Linked DNA regions of Oryctolagus cuniculus. The protein of the gene in region 5 purifies or fractionates together with the protein of the main gene of each other region. This does not show direct contact. Links are inferred from orthologs where the notes say so. Each region holds a gene or a part of one and is shown on either strand. Other genes may lie near its edges. The genes, in order: SMARCD3, ARID1B, PBRM1, SMARCC2, ACTL6A, PHF10 and ARID1A.

The links.
Region 1: the proteins of ACTL6A (region 5) and SMARCD3 purify together in Homo sapiens (affinity purification with mass spectrometry; 3 studies listed by BioGRID and IntAct, with this or other methods). This does not show direct contact. The link is inferred for Oryctolagus cuniculus from reciprocal best matches to the Homo sapiens genes ACTL6A and SMARCD3.
Region 2: the proteins of ACTL6A (region 5) and ARID1B purify together in Homo sapiens (affinity purification with mass spectrometry; 5 studies listed by BioGRID and IntAct, with this or other methods). This does not show direct contact. The link is inferred for Oryctolagus cuniculus from reciprocal best matches to the Homo sapiens genes ACTL6A and ARID1B.
Region 3: the proteins of ACTL6A (region 5) and PBRM1 fractionate together in Homo sapiens (co-fractionation; 4 studies listed by BioGRID and IntAct, with this or other methods). This does not show direct contact. The link is inferred for Oryctolagus cuniculus from reciprocal best matches to the Homo sapiens genes ACTL6A and PBRM1.
Region 4: the proteins of ACTL6A (region 5) and SMARCC2 purify together in Homo sapiens (affinity purification with mass spectrometry; 8 studies listed by BioGRID and IntAct, counting the BioPlex papers as one, with this or other methods). This does not show direct contact. The link is inferred for Oryctolagus cuniculus from reciprocal best matches to the Homo sapiens genes ACTL6A and SMARCC2.
Region 6: the proteins of ACTL6A (region 5) and PHF10 purify together in Homo sapiens (affinity purification with mass spectrometry; 3 studies listed by BioGRID and IntAct, with this or other methods). This does not show direct contact. The link is inferred for Oryctolagus cuniculus from reciprocal best matches to the Homo sapiens genes ACTL6A and PHF10.
Region 7: the proteins of ACTL6A (region 5) and ARID1A purify together in Homo sapiens (affinity purification with mass spectrometry; 5 studies listed by BioGRID and IntAct, with this or other methods). This does not show direct contact. The link is inferred for Oryctolagus cuniculus from reciprocal best matches to the Homo sapiens genes ACTL6A and ARID1A.

Annotation. Positions count from the first base shown.
Region 1 is NC_091438.1:22,579,849-22,583,918, reverse strand, and holds the start of SMARCD3 (SWI/SNF-related matrix-associated actin-dependent regulator of chromatin subfamily D member 3), read right to left. Parts: upstream 2,801-4,070; 5' UTR 2,607-2,800; coding exon 2,529-2,606; intron 1-2,528. UniProt on the Homo sapiens protein: Involved in transcriptional activation and repression of select genes by chromatin remodeling (alteration of DNA-nucleosome topology).
Region 2 is NC_091436.1:10,395,236-10,398,372, forward strand, and holds part of ARID1B (AT-rich interactive domain-containing protein 1B), read right to left. Parts: intron 2,896-3,137; coding exon 2,765-2,895; intron 496-2,764; coding exon 1-495. UniProt on the Homo sapiens protein: Involved in transcriptional activation and repression of select genes by chromatin remodeling (alteration of DNA-nucleosome topology).
Region 3 is NC_091441.1:97,124,613-97,128,112, reverse strand, and holds part of PBRM1 (protein polybromo-1), read right to left. Parts: intron 1,216-3,500; coding exon 573-1,215; intron 1-572. UniProt on the Homo sapiens protein: Involved in transcriptional activation and repression of select genes by chromatin remodeling (alteration of DNA-nucleosome topology). Required for the stability of the SWI/SNF chromatin remodeling complex SWI/SNF-B (PBAF).
Region 4 is NC_091442.1:58,984,923-58,988,422, forward strand, and holds part of SMARCC2 (SWI/SNF complex subunit SMARCC2), read right to left. Parts: intron 1,502-3,500; coding exon 1,426-1,501; intron 386-1,425; coding exon 254-385; intron 152-253; coding exon 36-151; intron 1-35. UniProt on the Homo sapiens protein: Involved in transcriptional activation and repression of select genes by chromatin remodeling (alteration of DNA-nucleosome topology).
Region 5 is NC_091435.1:100,247,005-100,251,263, forward strand, and holds the start of ACTL6A (actin-like protein 6A), read right to left. Parts: upstream 2,801-4,259; 5' UTR 2,615-2,800; coding exon 2,590-2,614; intron 1-2,589.
Region 6 is NC_091436.1:634,201-637,700, reverse strand, and holds part of PHF10 (PHD finger protein 10), read right to left. Parts: intron 3,006-3,500; coding exon 2,922-3,005; intron 964-2,921; coding exon 830-963; intron 746-829; coding exon 596-745; intron 1-595. UniProt on the Homo sapiens protein: Involved in transcription activity regulation by chromatin remodeling. Belongs to the neural progenitors-specific chromatin remodeling complex (npBAF complex) and is required for the proliferation of neural progenitors.
Region 7 is NC_091438.1:144,733,246-144,736,745, forward strand, and holds part of ARID1A (AT-rich interactive domain-containing protein 1A), read right to left. Parts: intron 3,387-3,500; coding exon 3,219-3,386; intron 2,245-3,218; coding exon 1,932-2,244; intron 890-1,931; coding exon 744-889; intron 645-743; coding exon 535-644; intron 1-534. UniProt on the Homo sapiens protein: Involved in transcriptional activation and repression of select genes by chromatin remodeling (alteration of DNA-nucleosome topology).

The DNA.
Region 1 (4,070 bases), on a different chromosome or scaffold from region 5:
GGCTTCGGCGGAGGGGGCTTGGCGTGTCGCTGCAGGAAGCTAACTGAAGCCAGGCAATTGTCCAGGGCATTGCCGAGCCTGGAGCTGCGGAAGGTACCGCAAAAACGCACAGTAACTGGCAATGGCGCCTTTCCACCTTCCAAAGGAGGTTCACACCCTCACGCGCCTCTGCCAGACTCAGTGAACAGGTCCTCTCATTCCCACTTGACAGACGAGGCAACTGTGGCTCAAGGAGAACGGCGACCTCGCCAAGGTCACGCAGCTCATCTTGGCTAGGACAACACCTGAAGGGCTCCGGGTTCCTGAGGGCCGCAGCGTTTTGCCGTTTGCGGCTTCGTTGAAGTTAGGGGCTGAGCTCCCTGCTCTGACTTTCCTTACGGCTCCCTCCCTCTTGGTCTCCACTCCTCCAGCTGTTCTGCCTTGCACCGGCTCCTCCTCAGCTGCCCCCTCCTCTCTCCACGCCCTGCTTTTGGACCTCTGCATCCCAAACTCCATCCCCTCCAGCTGACTCCACACCCAGAGGCTTCAGCAACTAAGCTGGACCCCAAGATTTGCTCCCCGGGTGAAGGCTGAAGGCAGAGCAAGGGCAAAGGCACCTGAGGGGCTGACGTCACAGCCTGCCAGGATTCTGATTGGGAGGAGGGGGAGCTGGGCTGGAGGTGAGCTACCAGGGGGCCTGGGCCAGGTCAAAGGAAGCAGCGTGTCCACCCGCACCCATCAGCCATCAGCCAAGGCTTCACACCCAGCAGGCTTCCTCCACTGCTCACCCCCACCCCAGTGAAGCCAGGTTTCAAAGAGGGTGGTGGAGAGGGAGATGAGGTGGGTCATGTGCCCCTAGGTGGTTGGATGGGGTGTAAATGAGATGCAAATGAGTGAAGTGCTACTGCCACTTGTCCAGAGTTCAGGAGGGATATGAGGGTTTCAGGGGCTTGTGTAGCAGCAGGGGAGTGGGTGGGATGGGGACTGGGAAAAGCAGGAATCTTGGGGAGCAAGGGGCCCCTGTTGTCATTTATCCACTCCATTATCTCACCCTAGGCCCAAGGAGACGCCCCGATGCTGCCCCTGACTTTGCCCCTAAAGCCCTCCCACTCCCAGCCAGCAGCTGTCTCTGTCCATCTTTCCAGCAGTGAAACCTGCCCGACCATGTGTCTGCCTCCCCCCACCCCACCTGACCCTGTCACTCATGCTTCCAGGGTGGCAACCCAGAATGGAGCTAGCTGGTGACCATTCTCCGCCAGCCTAGATGGGGCACTGGGAGTGGGGATGGTGGGGCGCCGAGCCACCTAAGAACTGAAGCATTAAGTTGGCCATATATATATATATATAGAGAGAGAGAGAGAGAGAGAGAGAGACCCATGTCGAGCCTCTCTCCCTGCTAGCTGGGCCTTTTCAAAGGAACTCCCCGCAGCAGCAAGGCTAGGACCGGTGATGCAGCTGGTGGACATGCAGGCCCTGGAAAGTCGACCCCAGAGATGCCCAGCGCTGGAGGCCAGGCTGACCCAGGAACCCCCTTGGCTTTATCAGCTGGGCTCCCTCTCTGTCAAGGCCAGGGATACTGCCTGCTCTGCTGGGAGGCTTCCAGGGCCCCCAGGGAGCTGTGCCAGCCACCAGCACCACCCCCACAACAGGCCAAGATTCAGGGACTCTGGCCTCCCTCACCAAGAAGGTGCCCTCCTGGGGGGTCACGGCCAAATGTGGCCGCAGTGAACCTGACGTCGTCCCCTCTCGCGTCTCCACACCCAGCGTGGCCCCCGAGCCACCCAGCTCAGGCCTCTTCCGTGCCCTGCCTCGGGTTGCTGAGGCTGCCTGGGGCTTCCCACGTGCCTCTGGGGCTGCCCTGTCCCTGGGATCCCTAGGCCTCACGTCCCCGACTCCGGCCCTTTCTTCACACCTTGGAGATATTAAGGACAGGCGTCTGCCAAGGGGACGCTCGGACTCCTTCCACCTGGAGTCTGTCCCTAGAGGGAGCCTCTCCCTGACCCTGATGGCAGGGGCTACGCCGAAAATGCCCCAGTGCCCTCCTGCCAGGATACAGAGGTTGCTCAGCCAGAGGGCTTTCGCGCCCACAGTGCCTCCAGGGTCACCTGCTCCACGCTCTGGAAACAGAGTGACACCGTCCCAACGGATGTGAACAGACAACCCAACAGGGCTGCGCCGCGTCCCCGTCCCCCGCCCCCACCCCCGGGGAAGGGGTAACACCTGGGCCCGCTGGGGAACCCAGACAACATGTCGGCCACAGAAGGGGACCCCCACCTGGGTGGGGGGAGTCCCCCAGTCCCACGCCCGCCCCTGACAAGAGCCCGCGCAGTCGCCTGCCTTCCCCGCCGCGCGCGCCCATCCCCGGCCCGCCGCCTGACGACGTGTTGGCACGCCAGGGCGCCGGCACGGTCCCGGCGCTGGGCTGTGGCCGCGGCGCCCCCGCCGGAGGGGTGGGCGCGCGGGAGCGCCCTCCCGGCCCCTCCCGGCCATCCCTCCATTCAGCCCGAGCCAGCTCGCTCACCCTCCCCCGCTAACTTTCCCCCACTCACCACCCCATGGACCAGAAACTCAAAAAGTTTGCTTTTCGTGGCTTTGCGCGCCCCTCCGGCAACTTCGTCCGCGGCCATCGGGGTGGGCTCAGCGGCGCCTCTCACTCTCTCTCTCTCTTCCTCTTTCTTTCCCTTTTCTGCCTTTTTTTTCCTCCAACTCTCCCCTCTGAGTCCTGCTGGGCTCTCTCACACTTCTACTCGAGCGGAGTGGGGAGGGGGCCCCTTCAGGGCTGCCCTGACGGCCCACGGCCCACGCCGCCGCCGCCGCCGCCCGCCCGCCGCCGCTGCCGCCGCCGCCGCCGCGGCTGCCGCATTCCTGCACTGATAAGACAGAAATAGTCCGGCGGCCCGGGGTCTGCCTGTTGACTCGGCGGGGACGGGGACGCCGGCCTTTGCAGCCCGCGCTGTCCAAACAGCGCAGATAAGCGGCGAGGTGCGCGGCGAGCCCGGCCCCGCCTGGGCGCAGGGTAGCGGCGCTTGCAGCCCGGAGCCGCCCGAGGGCCGCGCGGGGAGCTGGCGGGGGGCTCGCCGGCCACCCGGGCTCTCGCCACAAATAGCTGCTCGGTTAGGGAATTCGCCGGCAGGGCCAGGCAGGGAACAGTCAGTTCCAACTTTCTTCCCTCCCCGAGAGGCTCCGGCTGCATTTCTGAGGCCCTTTCCCCAGAGACCTGGCAGGCCAAGTAGGGAAACATTCGCGGGCAGGAATCCGGGGGGGAGCCGAGGCCGGCCGCGCCGGGTGTGCCGGGGAGGAGGCGCTCCCTGCGCGCACGGCTGTGTGTGTGTGTGTGTGTGTGTGTGTGTTGTGCCCTTGTCTGGCGGCCGGCGTCCGCACCCTGCGGCCCGGCGCGGCGGCTGCGGGTGTTGACGAGGGCGCACGGACGGACGCCTCGCCCGGGGGCCTCGCTGCGCGGGAGCCGCCAGGCCTGCGCGCGTGCGTGGGGCCGGGACGCGGCCTGCGCCGCGCTCCGCTCCGCGCGAGGCTATTTCTGGGTATGTGGGTCTTTGTTTGCCTCTGTGTGAGAAAGTGAGGGCAGGAGGGCAAGTATTTCGGAAGGAGGGACGGGGACGGGGCTCAGAGAGCGCAGCGAGGGGGAAACGCGGGGCGAGGCGGCGCAGGGCCGGGCTGGGGGCTTCGGTGGGGGCGTCTGGGAAGCAGGAGACAAGCGGGGCTTGAGGGCCTAGGGGTGCGGACCCCGGAGGGGTCGGGCCCGCCTCAGCATCCCAGAGGAAGCCGGGGCGCAGGGTGGGGTGAGAGCGAGCCCCCGAAGGGGCGGTGTGCAGGGAGCTGGCAGTCCCTGGGGTGGAGGAGAGACAGGAAAGAGGAGGGGCGAATCCTGAGATCCCCAGACTGGGCGCCCTGGCCCCGCCCATGCCCCAAGGCCACGCCCCTATCTCCTCCTCCCGGAGGAGGGGCCCGTGGGCTTTGGGACGACAGAGGGTCAAGTTTAAGGGCCTGCTGGGGCTGCGGTGTCAACACAGGTGAGGGCGGGGCAACGGGACACCTACTTGAAGTTGGGCCCTGAAGACCCAGCATTGCCCTGC
Region 2 (3,137 bases), on a different chromosome or scaffold from region 5:
AATCTCCATCTTGCTCTCGAAGTGAGTCTGGATGTGTTCGGTGGTGTCGCCGCCGCCCAGCTGCCAGTGCAGGAGCCCGCTGTTGAACTCCTGCACGCGCCCCAGCCGGTCGGACCGGTCCACCACAAACAGCTTGTTCTTCTTGACGACCTTGATGGGCAGCTTGTCGAACTTGCTGGCTTGCTTGGGCTTCTCCTTGGGGTCTGCGGTGGCGTCCGGGGCGCTCAGGCCCGGGCTGCCCTTGGCCTCCGGCTCAGTCTTCTCACCGTCCTCCTCGTCCTCCTCGTCCTCGTCTTCGTCCTCGTCCAGGCCGTCGGCCTCAGCCTCCTCTCGCCCAGAGTCGTCCGCCGCCGCCTGGCCGTCCTGTTTCCTCGCCGCGTGGTGATCAAGTGCTTTCTGGCTGGGGTCTCCCACTTCGTATTCCATGAGGATTCCAAAAATGTCAATCAGGCATTTTCTAAAGTACTCGACTAAGAGTTCGAGAAATCCCGACAACTGGAGGGGGTGGGGTGGGAGGAGAAAGAACAGGCACGTGAGTGCAACGCTGCGGGCGAGAAGCCCCGCGGACCCCCCGGCCACACCTGCCCTTTCTGCCTGGGCCACGAGAGGAAGCCCCCAGCAGGCGGCACCCACTTCCAGAACCCACAGCTCTCACTAGCGCCCCGCAGCGGCCTCCTTACTGTTGCCCCACCCGTGCGAACACCTGCTGGGTTTTCCAGTGCTACCAGGGAGGGGCGCTCGGCCGTCCGTCACCTTCTTTTCTGACTTAGAGGCAACGCACACATTATTAAAAGAGTGAGAATGTGGATTTCATAGACGCTTTCAGCCAAAGGGACTCTGTTCTCTTCTATTATTTATCCGAGACTTGCTTGCTGGGGTTTTTATGGTTATTATTCTTAGGATTTAATGGTTATTTTTATCTCAGGTGCCGTAGGTTACCCTAATTTACGTTCTCCATATCTCTTTTGGAGAAGATAATTTCAGCAATGTAGTAGCTCATAAACACTGAAAATTAAAAACAAATCAATTTAGTCCCTGATAAATGAATTAGAATGTTTCATAAAACGCGATTTTACATTTCCATTATGCACAACTCTAGCTGAAGACAAAAGCGGCAGGGCGCACCACTGCCTCCGGAGAGCCGGCACTGGCTCCCCGAGCGAGTGTCTGCGTGGGGAAGAGACCCACACGCTCCAGGTGAGCGCTCCAGCTCCCCCCGGCATGCAGGTGCTGGAAGGGTGTTTTAGTGACAGACGTTAGGCATGTCAACCCCACCTTTCTGTCCCACTGTCAGTTTCTTGAGAGTGGGACGGGAGCAGTCACTGGGAAGTAGGGAAACCCCAGCCACGTCCAAGGGCAGAGGTGGAGCCTGGACTTCCCTCACCCTTAAAGTGCACTCCCCCGCCCCCTCCAGGAAAAGGGGAAGCTACCAAAGCAGTTCTGTTTATGAAAATGTGGGAGGGGCCGGCACTGTGGCACAGCAGGTAAGGCCACCGCCTGCAGCACTGCCTTCCCATTTGGGTGCTGGCTGGAGTCGTGGCTGCTCCACTTCTACTCCAGCTCCCTGCTAAGGGCCTGGGAAGGCAGTGGAAGACGGCCCACGTATTTGGGCCCCATGCTCCTATGTGGGAGACCTGGAAGAAGCTTCTGGCTTCAGGCTGGCCCAGCCCTGGCTGTTGTGGGCTTTGGGGAATGAACCAGCGATGGAAGATCTCTCTGTCTCTCTCTCTCTGCCTTTAGAATAAATAAATAAATCTTATAAAGAAAAGAGAAAAAAAGAAAATGTGTGATCAATAGTAGTTCATCCAACAGAAGGATGAACATTGATTACTCCAGCAAAGGGCGCATACATATTTTTATATATTCATTTTCTGTTAACACAGGGCTGTACAATGTTTATGGTCTTATTAATATACTTCCTTTCAATGAAAAACTTGCCTTTCTGGGCCACAGTGGGGGACTTAAATGAGAGAAGAAAAATGAAGGAAAAGATTCTGTAGAATCAAGGAAATTAGGTGTTTTAGTTTTCTTCCACCAAAAGCAAGAAAAATAGCCATTCCTCATTTTTATTTCTAAATACCCACAAAAAAACTCCACAGCCCAGCTGACTGCTGGACATCTGTGCAAAGCCTCAGCTCTGTTTTTTCTTCCAGCTACTGTGCTGGAAGCTGCCTGAAACCTAGCTTTGAACAAAGGAGGGCTTGAAGCTCATTCAAGCTAACAGGTGTTTAAATGACAGCGTCCAAATCACCCGGGAGGCAGAGATGGGAGGAATGAGACCTGGAGACAGGCCTGGCCCCAGCTCTTCATCGTGCTGGTGGGACGCTGGGCACAGAGAGCTTCCCTGGGTTCCCTGGAACGTTCTGTGCACGCCTGGGCATTCTGTACATTTTCTCTAAGATTTGCAGACAGACGTCAGGTCCCCCAGGAACGCAGGGTGACGTTCCATGGTGAGCACTGCCTTTCCTACCTGCACCACAAGGCTAACTTCACTTAACATTGTGATGAACTCCAACTGGCCTGCTACTATGCATTCTAAACAACAATGTAATTTTATTACTGTCAGCTACTCCACACACACCCACAGTTATCCCAGGGGAGCAGGGGCGGACCTTCAACCTCCCCAGATAACTGCAGACTGATCAGTGCTGGCCCAGGGCAGCTGTCACGCCTGAGCACGAGTCGGTGCCCGTCCACTGGGGCACACACCCCGGCGTTCCACACGACTTACGGGTCCTGTGTTCTATGTGTTGGCGAAGCTCACCTGGGAGAGATTGAAAGTAGCAACGGTGCTGTCATCGTAGAGAAGGATGTTGATGGTGTCCAGAGCCCAGGTGCTTTCTGCCAGAAGACCCGACTTAAGGGACATCATCACACGCCACGCCTCGGGAGTAGCTGCAAACGGCAAAGGAGGAGCAAGTCAGACAGGAAGTAGCAGCGGGGCAGAGAGGGCTGAACACGGACTCCGTGCAATGCTCCGAGGGCCGCTGACCAACCGTGGTTGTGTTTAGGTTGTAAGACGAGGGGATGAGCTGAACAGTGCAGTGGGGCTGGTTAGGATCCTCTGGCTTTGCTGGTTAAACATGAGCCAAAGTGCTTCCGGGTCAGAAGTGGCTGAGCACAATCGCTGCTCTCTC
Region 3 (3,500 bases), on a different chromosome or scaffold from region 5:
AAAAAAAAAAAAAAAAAAAAAAAAGAAGCGTGCCCTCAAGGCTGGTGCTGGGGTATAGCGGGTGAGTCCACCACCTGCAGTGCTAGCATCCCATATGGGCACTGGTTCGAGTCACGGCTGCTCCACTTCCAATGTAGCTCTCTGCTATGGCCTGGGAAAGCAGTAGAAGATGGCCCAATTGCTTGGTCCCCTGCACCCATGTGGGAGATTCGGAAGCAGCTCCTGGCTTTGGATTGGTGCAGCTCTGGTCATTGCAGCCAACTGGGGAGAGAACCAGTGGATGGAAGCCCTCTCTCTCTCTGCCTCTCTGTGTAACTCTCTCTCTCTCCAAAAGTCTGACTTTGAAATAAATAAATAAATCTTAAAAACAAAAAAAAAAAAAAACAAAAAACAGAAAGAAGTGTGCCCTCTCTTCTCCATGGAATATCTCACTCTTGAAGTTCAGCCTAATTAAGTCAGAATAATATGGTAACAACTATAATCACACACATAAGCTGAATCAAAGCAATTTCCACTCAACTGCCTGGCACTAAACATCACATCCTCAAAAAGAAATGGCTTTAAAAACATACCGATTCATCCTTCTTGCCCTTTCCAATACTTCAAACATATGCTCTTGAAATAAATCGAGCCGCCGATAGCGATTATTTTCAACATTTTTCCTAATAATGTCAAAAGTAAGAGGAGGTTTGTTAGGAAAGCTGGGATCTACTGCAGGAATTTCTGCTAGGGAATCACTATAGCATCTTCCCTCATCGTCCTGATGGCTCATGACTGACACGAAAAGATTGTGGATAAGCTCTTGAATCAGCAAAGTCACATTTGGGACGTGAGAGTCCTCATCTCCCTCGAGGTCTCTCCGAGTCTCCAGCAAGACTTTGTGTAAGACAAGGGCATCTTTGTAGATCAAAGACTCGGGCTCATTGTATGTACAGGCGTTGTTAAACATCATGACAAAGTCTTCAACCATAGAGTCGATATCTTGGTACTTGTTGGCCATCATGTGACTTCGAATTTTTTCCATGTCCATGGGCTTTTTAATTGTCAGATAGTAGTCAGGCAGCTCAGATCTGGAGGGAAGTCTCAGAAATATGGCACTGAGGCGCCGACCTCTCTTATCAGTATAGTTCTTTACAGCTTCATAAACTTCATTTAGCTTCTGCTGCATTGGAGTCATATATTTTGATTTTTTAGGAGATATGCCACTCTTCCTACCTAAAGAAAGAAAGAAATTTTATGTTAAATGGATTAAATGAAATAAATGAATATAAATTTGTATACAATTGGTAGCATAACCATAAGAAAGGAACAAGTGATTTGCAAAACACAGTAACATATCTTCAGTGAAATACATTACAAAAGATTATTTAACTGTTTTCAGAAATCAAATTTTTGAACGGACAGTTTGTACTGTCACGCTCAGCTAGCTGTGAATAATGTGGGATACAGCAAGTCAGTAGATACGTGGCATACTTATTCCATCATCTCTGAAACCCCACAGAACTGAGATTTCATTGTGGGAGAAGGAGAGACACAGATGTTAAAACCAAGAACATGGATAAAAGCTCCATAGCCTGGAATCGCAATTGAATGTATCAACTGAGCCACGATGCATTTTATCTTTAAATATAAACACATATACATAGACATGCTCAATTTTTTAGGTCTGTCCATTGAAAGTCATAGAAATAATGACCAGCTTAGTAGAAGTATATCTCAGGACCACAGTTTTAAAACGTTAATTTCAAACAATCCTGGCCTTTTAACAGAAACATACAAAGTTTAGGACTCCTTCACAAATGGCTGACTCCAAGTCTGGTGTATCTTGAAACAACACATTGTAAAAAATCTATCAACTATTTTTTACGATGGTCACATTAAAAGAATACAGGAGCCAGCCTGAGACAACATAAGCATCAATAAGGAGAATAACTAAAATGGATTGAAGTCAGCAATAAAGCTAGCTGTTAATAATGATACATATACATGTAAAACAAACTGGCTGGCGCCACAGCTCAATAGGCTAATCCTCTGCCTTGTGGCGCCGGCACACCGGGTTCTAGTCCCGGTCGGGGCGCCAGATTCTGTCCCGGTTGCCCCTCTTCCCGGCCAGCTCTCTGCTGTGGCCCGGGAGTGCAGTGGAGGATGGTCCAAGTGCTTGGGCCCTGCACCCGCATGGGAGACCAGGAGAAGCACCTGGCTCCTGCCTTAGGATCAGCCCAGTGCGCCGGCCACAGCGCCATTGGAGGGTGAACCAACGGTAAAGGAAGACCTTTCTGTCTGTCTGTCTCTCTCACTGTCCACTCTGCCTGTTAAAAAAAAAAAAAGGACCAACAAAAACGTAGTTAAATATTGGAGGATGGGCCGGCAATGTGGTGCAGTGTGGTTAACACCCTGGCCTGAAGCGTTGGCAACCCATATGGGGGCTGGTTTGAGGCCCGGCTGCTCCACTTCCTATCCAGCTCTCTGGTATGGCCTGGGAAAGCAGTAGAAGATGGCCTAAGTCCTTGGGACCCTGCGACCACGTGGGAGAAACTGAAAGAAGCTCCGGATCAGCGCAGCTCTGACTGTTGCGGCCAACTGGTGAGTGAACCAGCAGATGGAAGACCCCTCTCTCTCTCTCTTTCTGCCTCTTCTCTCTCTGTGTAACTCTGACTTGCAAATAAAATAAAATAAATCTTTAAAAACAAATTGGAGGGGGCCAGTGCCGTGGCTCACTTGGCTAATCCTCTGCCTGCGGCACCGGCACCCCAGGTTCTAGTTCCAGTAGGGGCACTGGGTATCAGTCCCAGTTGCTCCTCTTCCAGTCTAGCTCTCTGCTGTGGCCTGGGAGGGCAGCGGAGGATGGCCCAAGTGCTTGGGTCCTTGTACCTGCATGGGAGACTGGGAGGAAGTACCCGGCTCCTGGCTTCAGATTGGCACAGTGTTGGCTGTAGCAGCCATTAGGGGAGTGAACCAACATAAGGAAGACCTTTCTCTCACTGTCTATAACTCTCTCTCTGTCTGTCTCTCTCTCTCACAGTCTAACTCTGCCTGGCAAAAAAAAAAAAAAAAAAAAAAAAAAAAGAGGGTATTAGTAAACCGATATACTATCATAAAAACTGGTTAAAAAAAAGAGAAAAAAATCAGGCTTTTATTCTTCCAAAACAAGACAAACAAAAAACTGTACCACTGCTTAACCAAATAACAAGGAAAAAAATTCTTTATATAGAAATAATCCATGGGACCAGCGCTGTGGTGTAGTGGGTAAAGCTGCCACCTGCAGTGCCAGCATCCCATATAGGTAGAGGTTCGAGGCCCCCTGCTCCACTTCCAATCTAGCTCTCTGCTGTGGCCTGGGAAAGCAATGGAAGATGGCCCAAGTCCTTGGGTCCCTGCACCCACGTGGGAGACCCAGAAGAAGCTCTTGGCTCCTGGCTTTGGATTGGCACAGCTCCAGCCATTGCAGCCATCTGGGGAGTGAACCAGTGGATGGAAGATCTCTCTCTCTCTCTGCAACT
Region 4 (3,500 bases), on a different chromosome or scaffold from region 5:
ATGGTGAACACAGGGGAAGGTTAGGGCTAATGTACCCTTTCTTAGCGTTTTTCTTCTTAGCTTCTGGGGTTGGTGAAGGAGAAGGGGAACGCTTCCTCTTCTTATAGTTCCCTCCCTTCTTGTCTCGACGATCTGAATCCGGGCTGTTCACCTGCAGGTTGAAGTGCGATAGGCGTCAGCCTACAGTCCCCAGCAAAGATTTGTTCTGAGATTGTGCTTAATGGGGCTCCAGGAAGAAAGAACACAATTTCACCTCGTCTGTCAGTGTCTTAGCTGAAATCTTCTTTCGGCGGGAGACAGGGTTTTTGTCATCATTTACTTCATAGTCTTCCTCATTCATCCACTCATTGAAGGTGTCTGTGTCCAGGATCCACTTTGCATGAACCTAAAGCACAAAAGCAGACGGTGCTGGAGGGAAGCCTGGAAGCAACAGCTGGGTCTGGGGACCTCTGTTAAAACACATGTGTGTTGGTGGGCAGGTTCTGGTGCAGCAGGTGGCACATGCTGTATTGGAGTGCCGTGGGTTTGATTCCCATCTCTACTGCCAATTCCAGGTTCTTGCCAGTGTGCACCTTGGGAGATGTGGGGAGCAAACCGGACTAGACTGAGTTACTGGAATTAAGACTTATTCTATGCATCTGCTCTCCCACAATATGGCGCTGGGAGAGAAGTAAACAGCTTCCGCACAGCTGCCTCCAGTTCAACCAATAAACTGTAGGACTTGCTCCTGATTGGAAGAGAGCAGCGTACTCGGCGTGTGGGCAGCCGAGTTGGGATTGGCGGAGGAGGACTATAAAGGAGGAGAGAGACGGCATGCACCAGGAACATCTAAGGGGAACATCTAGCTGAAGGAACACCCGTGCAGCCCCCCAGAGAGCCGGCCGGCGGTGTGCCGCTCCCCTGCGGAAGTGGGGAATGTGGCCAGGGGGAACTGCCCTTCCACGGAGGTGGAAGGGATAGTAGCCAACCCGGGAAGAACCAGCAGCAAACCCGGGGAGGGCCGAGCAGACGAAAGAACAGCGCAGGGTCCTGTGTCGTTCCTCCACGAAGAGGGGGAGCGACATAATGGTGCCGTGACTCGGATATGAAGCCTAGGCAGGGCTTAGTGTCGTTCCTCCACGAAGAGGGGGAGCGACAGGGAGATAGGAGGTAATGGCTCAAGTAGGTGTTCCTGCCACCTGTGTGGAGACATGGATTGAGTTCCTGGCTCCTGACTTCAGCCTAACCTAGTGCTTTCTGTTGCGGGTATTTGTGGACTGAACCAGCAGACAGATCTCTCTCTGTCTCTGTCTTTCAAATAAAAATGAAAATAAATAAACAATAATTCAAACAAAGTCCAAGGGCACAGAAGCCTCACTGCCTCACCTCCAGAAAGTGGTCTGGTCCCAGCCTCCCTCATGGGGTGGGGGCACGGGAAAATCTTACCTTTCTAGGTTTCTCGGGAGTTGGTGCGTCTTCCACAGATGCTTCAATTTCACTTGCCGGGATCCAGGTGTCGTAACTGCCATGAGAAATTGAGCATGAAGTACAATCAACAGGATAGAGTGCAGATCTTTTGGAAACACTTACATAAAGTACCGGGTTGTTGGTTTATCTTTTTGGCATGGTTTATTTTTCCAGGTGCTATCCAGAAAACATTACAATGCATTTAAAAAGCAGAGAACAGGGGCCAGCACTGTGGTGCAGCAGGTGAATACACTGCCTGTGACACCAGCACCCCATATCAGAGTGCAAATTCAAGTCCTGGCTGCTCTCTGCTAATAGACCTGGGAAAGCAGTGGGAGGCTGTCCAAGCACTTGGCCCTTGCAGCCCATGTTGGGGACCCATGTGGAACTCCTGGCTTCTGGCTTCAGCACGGCCCAGTCCTAGCTGTTGCGATTATGTTGGGAGTGACCCAGTGGATGGAAGATCTGTCTCTCCTCCTCTCTCTGACACTCTACATTTAAAATAAACAAAACAAATCTTATAAACACCAGTGCTGCCCCTAGCTCACTGAGGTCTAGCAGGAGAAGAAGAGGGTAGGGAAGGAGGTCTCTATAAACATTGGTTCCCAGAAAGCAGACCGCCCACAAATCAACCAGCAGTAAAGCACCCACAGCAGCAACCAGCTACAAAACCCACCGATGAGGGAGTGACCTCTACTGGAGGGGTGAAGAAACCTCATTGATACAAGCCTGGCATTGTGGCGCTCAGTCCTCAGAAGTCCACTGAACTTTTGATTCGAAAACTCTCCTTCTAAGCGTCTGGTGGGAGAAACTGCTCAGGATTTCAAAACAGATCTGTGCTCCCAGAGTACCACTGTTGGTGCTTTCCACAAGACAAGAGAGGCCTAGCTGGCTGGCCTTTTTGAAGACACCAACCTGTGTGCTATCTGTGCCAAATGTGTAACAATTATGCCAAAAGACATCTAGCTAGCATGCCACACATGTGGAGAATGTGATTAAGAAACCACTATGTGGGTAAAGCTGCCACCTGCAGTGCCAGCATGCCATATGGGCACTGGTTCAAGGCCCAGCTGTTCTACTTCTGATATAGCTTCCTGCTAATGGCCTGGGGAAAGCAGTGGAGGATGGCCCGAGAGCTTGGGCCCCTGCACCTTCATGGGAGACCCAGATGAAGCCAGGCCCAACCCTGGCTGTTTTGGCCATCTGGAGAGGGAACCACTGGATAGAAGAGCTCTTTCTCTGTTTACAGTCTAACTCAAATAAATTAAAAAAAATTTTTTAAACTTAAAAAAAAAAAAAAGAATCCATTATGATCTTTGGTGGGAAACATTTCATTTCAAAAAAATTTTTTTCTCTTCTTCCCGTTACTGGTAGTTCTGAATATCAGACATCTTTTCCCTCCACATGTCCAAAAGGTCCCTAAGGGCCAGTGCTGTGGTGCAAAGGGTTAAGGCGGCACCTGCAGAGCTGACATCACATACGGGAACTAGTTCAAGTCCAGGCTGCTCCACTTTCAGTGCAGCTCCCTGCTAATGTGCCTGTGAAAAACAGTGGAGGATGACTCAAATGCTTGAGCCCCTGCTGCTATATGGGAGACCTGGAAGAATCTCCTGGCTTCGGCCTGGCCACTGCTGGCCTTTGCAGCCATTTGGGCAAAGAACCAACAAATTGGTTGATCTCTCTCTTTAATTCTAACTTATAAATAAATAGAATAAATCCCATTTTTCTTAAAAAAAAGGTCCCTAAGTACATGATTCTGAGTGGAAAAATGGGGGGAAAATTCAAGTATTGGCAATTTTTTCCATTTTCATGTGTTTTTGAATTTTTAATATAAATGTGTGGACAGAAAGCATTCATGCAAGGGGCTGGCGCTGTGGTGTAGCAGGTAAAGCCGCGCCACCTGCAATGCTGGCATCCCATAAGGACACTGGTTCAAGTCCTGCTGTTCCACTTCCAATCCAGCTCTTTGCTATGGCCTAGGAAAGCAGTAGAAGATGGCCTAAGTCCTTGGGCCCCTGCACCCATATGAGAAAACCAGAAGAAGCTCCTGGTTC
Region 5 (4,259 bases):
AAGCAGTAGAAGATGGCCCAAGTCCTTGGGCCCCTGCACCCATGTCAGAAACCTGGAAGAAGCTCCTGCTTTCCCAGGCCACAGCAGAGAGCTGGATCAGAAATGGAGCAGCCAGGACTCGAACCGGCACCCACATGGGATGCCGGCACTGCAGGCGGTGGCTTTACTCACTATGCCACAGCACCGGCCCAATTACTCAACATTTTTAAGTGAATGGTTTGGTTGCTTTTAACACTAAATTCCTTGGAAAAATATGATCCACTATAAACACAAAATCATACTTACTTTTGTGAATTCTAAGTACTTTCTACATGAAAGACTTTAAAACATCAGAGTACTTCAAAAAGTTCATGGAAAATGAATTAAAAACTAAGTATTTTGGTGCAAAAATTTTTGAAATCCATGTTTTTTCATAAGCTTTCTTGATTAAATTCCAAAAATGTTCACACTAAAATAAACATTCAACTCCATTTTCCATAAACTTTCTGAATAATCCTTACACTCCTCTGAATAAGCTAGCAAGAAGTGGTTTTATTCTGAACACCTAAGTCATACATGGTAATACTATGGTTGTATAACTGAAACATGACACACAGAGAAATAACCAAAGAAATGGCTTTTTTAAAGGAGTAGGGAAGGGCTTGGCTGAAATGCCCTTTATTTCAGAGATTTTTGCTCTCAACTCCCTAGATAATTATGACTTTGGGCTGATTTTTAACCTTTCCTATCTTTACATCATTTTCTTCAGTAACACAGGGATAATAATACCATCTTACATGGTGGTTGTAGATTATAGGAGTTACTGCATGGATTAAAAATAATGCACATAAAACCTTTGGAATACTCTTGGTCTCCAGTACGCACCTAATAAATGCTAGCTGCTAGCATTAGTATTATCCCATTCCTACCAGTCATACTAAACAATGCCTTGTAAGGAATACTGGACAGCCTCCGGATCCTTGATTCAATGAACCTGGAGCTCCTAAGAGTCTAGACTCAGTTTCTCTGGAGTCAAGACTGAATCTTCAGATGGGGAAGAGGTGAATTAACAAGATCCAAAGTAAAAATAAGAAAATCAAGGACACAAAATAGGAAGGAGGAGGCAACAGGCTCAGCATGCTGCCTCAGAGAAGACTCTGAAACTACACCACCAAAAATACTAAGAACTTAGAAAAGTTACCTATCCCTTTACCTGCGGAATGCCATCCTCTTCAGAAAGAGAATCCTTACTAAAACAGTAGCAGTAGCAAGCACATAGTCCCTCAGTGTTTGCAGCGGATTGGTTACAGGACCCTACCCCCATACACCAAAATCCTTGGATACTCAAGTCGACTATATAAACCGATGTAGCATTTGCCTATAACCTGTGGCACAGACTACTGGATACTTTAAGTAGGTGTTCTCTATGTTACTTATAATCCCTAGTACAATGTAAACACTATGTAAACAGCTGTTATACTTTAGGGAATAACAAGAAACAAAATCTGCACATGTTCAATACAGATGCAATTTTTTCTGAATACTTCTGGTCCACAGTTAGTGGGATCCACAGATGTGGAGCCCACAGTTACTCAAGGCTGACTGTATTTCGGATTTGTCTTTTGGGTCTCTAACTCAAACACACCCCAAAATGTGAATCCAACAGTGAGTGCTCCAATTGTCTGGGGCATCTTTCAAAAATGGAAGCCCTGACTCTGTAGAACGGAGGGTGGGCCTTGAGATTCTTTCTAAACAGCTTGCAGGTGATGCTGATATTGCCGCTCCACGGACTTCAATTGGAGCAGCAGGTGTAGCTTCATGTCGGTCCATCTTGGCAGCCACCCTCGTTGGCTAAGGAATTCCCATCCCACGAGCGAGCGGCGCAAAGTCGGGGAAAGTAAACTGCCCAAGGCCAAGGCGCTGAGAAGTTTGACGATGCCCACAGCCCGTGGTAATCTTTGTACCACAACACAGTCTACTCAAGAAAAGCCAGAGAACAGACGCCCGGGACCTCAGGCAAAGCTTCCGGGCGTCCTTAAATTGCATGTGTCTCTAGATTCATCCCAACCAGGCCCTCCCACGAGTAACTCCGCAGACTCCACGGTCAAGAATGGGCAGGAGCTGCTGAGGAACGTGAGGCAGCGCGAGCGCAGGGCGCAGACCGAGGCGGCCGCCCCCTCTCCCCTCGGTCCACCTCTCGCGGCCGCTCTGCCTTCTATGGGACGTTGCGGACACCCTCCGTCCGCGCTCGCCAACTGCTGGGGGCCTCCCAGGTTAAACGCAGACGCAAGCCCCACACGGGCGAATTTTGCAGACACACGCGGGGCTGCCACCCCGAGGCGAGACACTCCAGCCGGGGCGCCGCGGGCCGGCCCGCTGGAAGCAGCACGCGCGACCCCAAAAGCCCAGCTCCTCCGGCGCCCGAGGCGCACGCTGAGCCGGGTGGGCTCCGGGGGCGGGCAGAGCGCGGGGCGGGGATGGGGCGGGGAGGCCGGGGTCCCGAGAGGGGGAGACCGGAAGGGACCGCCGGGTAGGGGAGGGCTGGGGGCGGCGGTTACAAACCCCACACGCCAAAAAGGCGCGCTCTCTGGCCGGGCCGCCTTCACTCACCTCCCCCGTACACGCCGCCGCTCATGGCTGCCGTCGGCTTGATTCCTGGGCGAAAAGGTGCCGGGCGAAGTGACTACAGCGGCCGCCACACGCGCTGGCCCCCGACCCCCTTAACTTCCACCGCCACCCCCCTCCGGCAACAAAGCGGCGTCCACACACCCGAGAGCTCAGCCACACTTGCTGGCTCCCCTTAGCAGCCAATCACGAGGAGGGAGGCCTACCTTTCAGCCAATCATAATGCGGCTTCGCTGCATCCCCGCCGCGGCTCCGCCAGTTTAGCCAATCGAAGGTGGCCATGGGGGCGGGGTTGGGCGGAAAGCGACGGAAGGAGGGCAGGAGTTGGGTTGCGGGACTCCAGGGGGCGGAGCTTGCAGGGTGGGCGGAGGGAGCGGGAGAGCCAGGCGTCGGGGGGCGGGCCCAGGGGTGTGACCAGGCGCCGAGGCGCGGTGGGAACCTGGGGCGGGAAGGGGCTCAGGAAAGAGGCTGGAAATGGGATAAAGTATGGAAATAGGATAAAGTGTCAACGAGCAGTAATTCCTGACCTTGCACTGCAGTGAATTTACGGATTTTTAAAGATTTTCCATAAAAAAAGCATTTTCAACCAACATTTGTTGAATAAAATTGTACTCCACTTTGTGTAGGGTCAACCAGTGAATCAAACAAATTAATAGGCTCCTGCAATTTTTTTTTTTTAATTTTTTGTTACAGAATTAAATGGCCCGTTTATTCACTTAGAAACCATTGTTAACCCCAGACACAGGCATTTCCCAATCACCAGCAGGTCCCTTGGCAAAGGAAAACGAACTCATATCCGAACTTCGGCAAGGAGGGAGCCTCACGGCGCGCAGTTCTTCGTGGAGGTCAAGGGCAAGTTGAGGGCTCAGCCGCCAGTCACACAGAGGAGCGGCGTTTGGCTTCTCAGCAGGGAGAGCGGTTCACCGGCAGACTCGGGCCTGCGTGCAGGCCTCTGGCAGGTTCTCCCCACAGATGCCACCCTCGGCCACTGCCTCACAACTGGGAACCCCAATATTGATAAAGCAAGCAGTCAACAGGCGGGCAGACAGGAGAGCCCCGTGACCACCTCGCCAGGTCACAAGCCGACTTAGATATACAATTCCAATGATCAAAAAAGGCCAGAGGTTACAAAATCAAAGCCGGAAGCCAGGAGTGAGGCATGAATGACGCCACTTCCTCTCTGAACCAGGAAACACTTGACTCAGCGGGGAGGTAACGGGCCAATGCCTTTCCCAGGTGTCCAGCGAGAGGCAGGGACGTGTCCTTGCCTGGCGTCAGCAAAGGCCGAAACAGCTGGCCTCTGCACGCCAGAACTCCCACCAGGGGAAGGATCCTGCAATTTTTTAAAATGCTTATTCATGGCTAAGACGTGATGCATTGTACCAACTACATTTAGATAGGTCATCCGTTTCTTTTATCTGGTGAGACAGGTATTGAACGAGCTAATCGATGCTCATTCAGGCAAGCATCTAAGCCTAAATACATCTCCAGTCTGTCTGCTCTGCTTAGTAGATGATTTCCACCAGCCAGGCCAGCCCACTGTCGTTCTCCCCTCGATTACTGCAACCACTTGTCACTGCCTCTTCACAGGCTGCAAGCAGCTTCATCTATAAAGAGGCTCAAACCCTTCACGTCGCTGCCTGTGCCTGTGACAG
Region 6 (3,500 bases), on a different chromosome or scaffold from region 5:
ACAGAGCTCATTCCACGCCTAGAATCATGGAATTCCTTCGGGAAAGGAAGCCGATTTGCTCTCCACTGCGTGCGCCCTTCCCCCTTTACGACAGCTACAGATTTAAGGAACATGGAGCAGAGACCTGTGCTTCCCAGCTAGACACAGCACGGTCTTGTCTGCCTTCGACTGTGAGCACAATTCCCAAGAAGCGCAGTGCCTCTCGCGCTCGCCACATAACGAGGACAGGAGCCGGGCGGCTTACACAACCCCTCTGAGGCTCAACTTCTTCACGTATGAAACGGTGATGACGCCAGTCCCAACCTCATGCGGTCAGAACTGAGAAATCAAGGCACATGGAGAGTTCTGACACCCTCGGACACACACAGAGTATGAGAAGCAGCTACTGCAGTCTCACTCAGCAGAGCCGCAATGAAGGGCACACAGCTCCCCAGACAGCAGGCTGGGTGTCCCTGGCACGTAACTACACACGGCTTCCTACGTTCCAGTGGGAGGAAGAGGACAGGTAGCATAACAAACAGTAAGGGGGTAACGCCACTCTGCAGTGACAAGCAAGGAGCTAGGCCCAGAGACTCCTGAGCTTAAATCACCCTACATGTGTCTGTAAGTCAAAGTAGGCTCTTCTCTCTTCCATGCGCTCCCGGTTTAAATTGCTGTTAAACTCAGCTGCTTTCTTGGCCGCTTTCTTGATGTACTCAGGCACTTTGCTGGCTTCGACTTTCTGAGTGTTCTGCTGTTGCATTTGCTGAAACAGAAACAGTGCAGTTGAAAGTCACATGTCATCCTCCCAAACCCAAACAAGGCGCGGTGGTCACTCCCAGTCACTCACAGAATATTCTTTGTAATGGTCTGTAATTCGCTGACGCTCTTTTTCTTGCAGAATAACAGAATATTCAGCATGTTTGGCTGGATATTCTTTTATCATTAAATCAATCACTTCATCACTGCGCAATGCTGTTAAACCTGTATTAGAAAAATTTTTAAAAAGAAAGTAACTCTCAAGGGAACAAAAACACTCTTGAATTTGCCTCTCTTTCAAACTACATTTAGAAGGTTTTCAAACAAAGCAAACTATTTTAAAACAGCTAAAAGTAGTACCTGTAGTATAATGACATCAAGCAACCAAAAAGCAAGATCGGGGTGGGAATTTGGCCTCACAGCTGAGATGCCAGCTGAGACCACGTCCCGTGCCGAAGCCTGTCCACCCCAGCTCTGCTCCTGATCCAGGTTCCTGCCACGCAGCCCGGGAGGCAGCAGGGAGAGCACCCACGACTGGGCTCTTGCTCCCCAACAGGGAGATGCGGACGGGTTCATGGCTCCCAGCTGCGGCTCCACTAGCTCTGTCTGCTCTCTCTGCCTCTCAAATAAATAAATCCATTTTCAACCAAATGAGTTTTTTAGATCCTATGTATTCTACAAAGGAACTTCAAAAAGTTCATAGGAAATGACAATAAAATTTATTTGGATGCAAAAGATTTTGAAACCCATGCATGGTATTTTCTTAACACCCATTTTGCATGGAATTTTTGAAGACCCTCAGCATGCATTAATTCAAAATTGTTTTGTACCAAAATAAACTTATCCTTTAATTTCATTATCCAAAACCTTTTTGAAGTACCCTCATATAAGCATATATCCCTTTATCTACAAACAACTGCCAAAAACAATACAGTCTAACTCCTAACAGGATACAGGATATCAGTTAAAAAAAAAAGCTTTTCAAACTACTGGTTTTTCCTAGCCTTCAAATTCCATACCAGAAATATTATAATCAACCCAAACTTTACCAAAAGCATCAGCGCATACACACATCATGAACACAATTTTCAAAACGTGATAGTGTCAGATTTTACTCAGCTGCTAAAATGAACTCTCGTGCATTCACACAGAAAAGGAGCCACACAGGGCTGATGCCAACATCCTGTGTTAACTGACAGTTCAAGTCCTGGCTCCTCCACTTCACGTCCAGCTCCCGGCTGATGCTTCTAGGAAAGCAGCGGAGGATGGCTCAAGTGCTTGGACCCTGCCACCCACAGGGAGACCCGGATGGAATTCAGTGTTCCTGGCTTTGAACCATTTGAGGAGTGAGCCAGTGTCTGCCTCTCCCTCCCTCTAATTCCTCCTTTCAAATAATTTATATTAATGTCTTTTAAAAAAGAAAAAAAGAGCCACACTATACACTACATTAAAATGCTTATCAAAGGAAAAGTATAAAGTATGGAGAATATTACACAAAACTGAATATTCAGCAAAATTTCCCTTTTAAGAGATAAGAACCTATACTTTTTTTTAAAGATTTATTTGGAAGGCAGAGTTACAGAGAGGCAGAGGCAGGCAGGCAGAGAGAAAAAGAGAAAGAGAAAGAGAAAGAAAGAGAGAGAGAGAGAGAGACAGAGAGAGAGGCAGGCCTTCCCTCTGCTGGTTCACGTCCCAGATGGCCACAACAGCTAGAGTGGCACCAATCTGCAGCCAAAAGCCAGGAGCCAGAAGCTTCTTCCGGGTCTCCAGCACAGGTGCAGGGTCCCGCTACATGACAGCACCAGCACCCTGCATGGTATTTTTTTAAAAGTATAGGTTCTGGGGCCAGCGCTGTAGTATAGTGGGTAAAGTCACTGCCTGCATTCCATATGGGCGCTGGTTCAAGTCCCAGCTGCTCCACTTCCAACCCAGCTCTCTGCTGTGGCCTGGGAAAGCAGTAGAAGATGGCCCAAGTCCTTGGGCCCCTGCACCCACATGGGAGACCCAGAATAAGCTCCTGACTTCAGATCGGTGCAGTATCAGCCATTGCAGCCAATTGGGAGTAAACCAGTAGATGGACAACCTCTTTCTCTCTCTCTGCCTCTCCTTCTCTCTCTGTGTAACTCTGCCTTTCAAATAAATAAATCTTTAAAAAAAAAAAAAAAAGAGCAAGCTTCTATTACCTAGAGTGCATTGAGTTTCTGTGATGACGTTTAACTCTCTCAGGTACAGTTTCTCCTTATGAGACAAATCTCGTCTCTCTAAATCTCCAAAAGGGAAGAACAGAAGACTATTAATAACAGTAAAGCATTATGCATTATAAAACTTACAAAAGCTTAAAAATTTTCTGTTTAAAAGTACTTCATGTCATGTATCTCAAATACTGTTAAAGGGGCTACACAAAAATTGTTTGAATTCAAGGAATAAAACTGAAAACAGAATAACCCAAAGATAACATAAATAACTGTACGGAACAATTCATCAAAGGTAGTCCTCCTGCAACTCAAGCATGGCTTCTGTACTAACTCATTCCTAAAGTCAAGGAGCAGTGGCAAAACAAACTCATGGCTAGAGATGGGTTTTGTCTTAAATTTCTCCAGGAAAGTCCCCTTTCTCATTTTGCTTTTATATCAGTTCGTGAGACATAATAACACATCAATAGGTGGAGAAGCTGAATGCCAATAAATGAAAATCAGAGCGCACAAGAATAAAATATATATTACCAATAATCCACATCCAAGAATTCAGTGGTTGATAAGCTA
Region 7 (3,500 bases), on a different chromosome or scaffold from region 5:
AACGTTTGAGATGATCTGAGCACCGAGCATGTACCAAGGCTGCCATACAGTCTGACAGAGAACACACTATGACCAACCCATGGGGAGGCCGAGGACCTCAGCGTCATCTCCCCCTTTATAGAACACAGGCCACTAACCATTCCTGCTGCTGTGAGTAAGGTCCAGAAAGAGGACAGGAACTAACTGTCCATGGTGCATACCGTCTATCAATGTTCCAGTAAGTACAGAAGGCAGTCAGTTTCACAGAGGGCACCAGCCAAACAATTCAGAGACTTCTACACAGCAGTGTCTTACAGTGTTACAGAGGTATGAGAATCAACGCTATTTACTTCACAATTCTTTGAGCTAACTCAAACCTAATTCAATGAGCTATTATTCTGGGCCCCTTCATGATAAGAAGAGGCAACTGCGGGGTTTTCAGATTACTTAGTGATGTCCTAACAGGCTAGACTCATCACTCTCTTTTCTTTTCCCTTCCTATCACTGAAAAAGAATAGGATCCAAAGTTGAAAGGAGTCACGACAAACTCGATACCTTGGATTTGGACTCTGTCTTGGGTGTCCCATCTGCCTTGTTGTTCATTTTGGTCGCAGGAGTTAACTTGACATCCCCAAGGCCCATCATCTCTGGGCTGGCTGCCATCCCTATAAAAGAGAGGACATAATTCGCATGTCCAATACATTAGTTAGCATGTGACGATCACTCTTGAAACATTCTCTAGGGTGAGCAAGGCAAGAACATACCTGCTGAATTGTTGGCCATGGTTCCACCCATGGGGTATGGGGGTCCCTGAGGGTTGATCATGCCAGCCATACTATTAATCCCTTGTCCATAGGGAGGTCCAGTTCCCATCATGCCCCCCTGATTCATATTGGGGTAGCCTGGTGGCCTAAGGAAGAAGAGGGAAAGTGAGAGATAGGTTACAAACATGAAGCTTTCAGATTGGGATTTGAGCTAATTAAAATTAAGGCTGTATGACCATCTAGTTAGGCTTAAAAGGAAAAAGCATATGGGTCTTCCCCCAAATAGAACTATGTAACAGTTAGATATTCTCATTTTCTACTTCCCACAAGAGTCTAAGAAGGGTTGAACTCTATAAATCACCCCCTCAAGTTGTATTTCCTTTTAACAGCCTAAATGAAATGCTCAATTGTACCAAGCCTTAATCAAATTGGACCCCTGGACAAAGCATCTGGAGATGGCTTTACAATCTTTCTTGATGGTCATAACACAAACTTTGCACTTCATCACTGTGAAGGTCTACCAAACCCACTTCTTTAGTCAACTGCTCTGTTTTATTGTGGTTTATCAATACGGCAATGAGATTCATTTTAAGAGTCATGGGCACTAACAATAGGGTGGTATAAGGAGTTGTATCTTGAATAACAGTGAAATCATATTCACAGAAGTCTGAGACTGATGAAGAGATAACTCTTCAAGTCGCTGGACCTCACACAGGAGCCTCCTGCACTTCAATACCAGTCAATGCACAGGACCATCAACAACCACAATACTACCATTCTTCCATTCTTCACACCAGATTCAAATCATGTTTATCACTAACCATCCTTTTAGAAACCAAAAAATTAGACTGACAGAAGTGAATCCACCTCCCCTGAAGACTTACTTTGCTAATCAACATAATCTGTTTATAGTTCTTTACATATAGTATAAAGTCCTTTATATACATATTTGGTCATGTGAAATTTGATATCAATATAAGATGCTTAAGAACCAATAATTCTGTTGTTTTTTTTTTTTAAACACTATAATCTAATAAAACCTAGTCTCTAAAGAGCTCTTGATATGTTTCTACCTGTTACATGTGCATACATACAATGTTCTGATTTAGTTCCAGAAGCACCTCAATCACTAAATGGGTCTATGGTAGATTTCCTTGCACTGACACCCTTTTACTTTCCAGGCCTTACCTGTTTTGGATAGAGTTGGCAGCAACATGCATGGCGACAGCAGTTTCTTGAGTTTTCCGGTTCATACCCCCTGGTGGGGGGCACATCCCTGACCCAACCTGAGGTGGCATATTGGCCATGTTAGGGCCATAAGGCCGGTTGCCCATGGAGGCATGACTCATTCTCCCTGGAGGGAGTGTGCCATAAGGTGGGATGCCAGGCTGCCCATGCATCTGACCTCCAGCACTCATTGGGTTTATGCTTCCAGCCATGCCTGCACTAGGGTAGTTGGCATTGGGCAAGGCATTATAGTTTGGCTGCCTGGGGTAGCCTCCTGGAGGGGGGAGGGGGAGAGGAAACAAGAGACTGAGTTAGTGACTCACTGGCAACTCACAGCTCTAAAACTCTAAACAATGAGAATCATTGACTATTTGGTCAGGAAAGAGGTAAACTTCATGGTAGCCTTTACCCCCATGCGAAAACTAAGTAAAGCAGTAGTGTTTCCCCATCTTAAAAAAGAGGTGAGCAAGGCTGGCTTTGCTATCATCTGGGCCCTTAAATCCCCAGAGGAATCCTTTCTTTTCAGTACACTCACCTTGCTTTCTATCCCATGCTCTGTGCAAGATATTCACCTTTAGATCTACTTAGGGCTGATGTATATATCTATGTATGTTTTTTAAAAGATTTATTTATTTGAAAGATGGAGTTACACAGAGTGAGAGAGAGACAGACAGACACAGAGGTCTTCCATCCAATGGTTCACTCCCCAGATGGCCACAACAAGCAGGGCTGGGCCAAACTGAAACCAGGAGCTTCTTCCAGGTCTCCAATGTGGAAGCAACAGCCCAAGCACTTGGGCCATCTTCCACTGCTTTCCCAGACGCATTAGCAGGAAGCTGGATTAGAATGAGCAGCTGGGACTCAAACTGGGGCCCATTTGGGATGCAGTGGCTTTACCTGCTATACCACGACAACCTCAAGACAAGAGCTGATTTTAAGTAACAATCTATTCTACTAGGACTTATTCATTAAAACAAACAAAACAAAACAAAACATCCACAGCTAACATCTAAAGAGTCTGTGCTCAGTTCTGGGCTAAACACCTAATCCCCATTTTATAAATAAAACTTAGGAAACTCATACTTTTCCATGGTGACAAAGATAAGGAGAGGCAAGATGGAACCCAGTACAACCCTACATCAGAGTCTGAGATGGGTAGATTTAAGGCAAAGGACACCTCACTTCTACAACATATCAGTGAGGAACTATTTTCTCCTCCGCCTACTCCCAGTTGGGTAGTATACTCACCTTGTGGGCCATACTGACCCCCCTGGGGGCCATAGCTCCCCATGGAGTTCTGCTGGTAGGAGCCCATGCCTGTGTGCATCTGTCCTCCAGAAGGCTGACGCGGAGATAAGGCTGAGCCGGGCTGGGGGGAACTGTACTGGGGCATCTGGGGATTCCTCTGCATATAACCTATTTGTGGGTAGTAGCCATACAGTTAGTATTTTTAAAGGTTTATGTATGTATGTATATATGAGGTATGTATTTGAAAGGCAGAGTGACAGAGTCAGAGGAAAAGACAGAGAA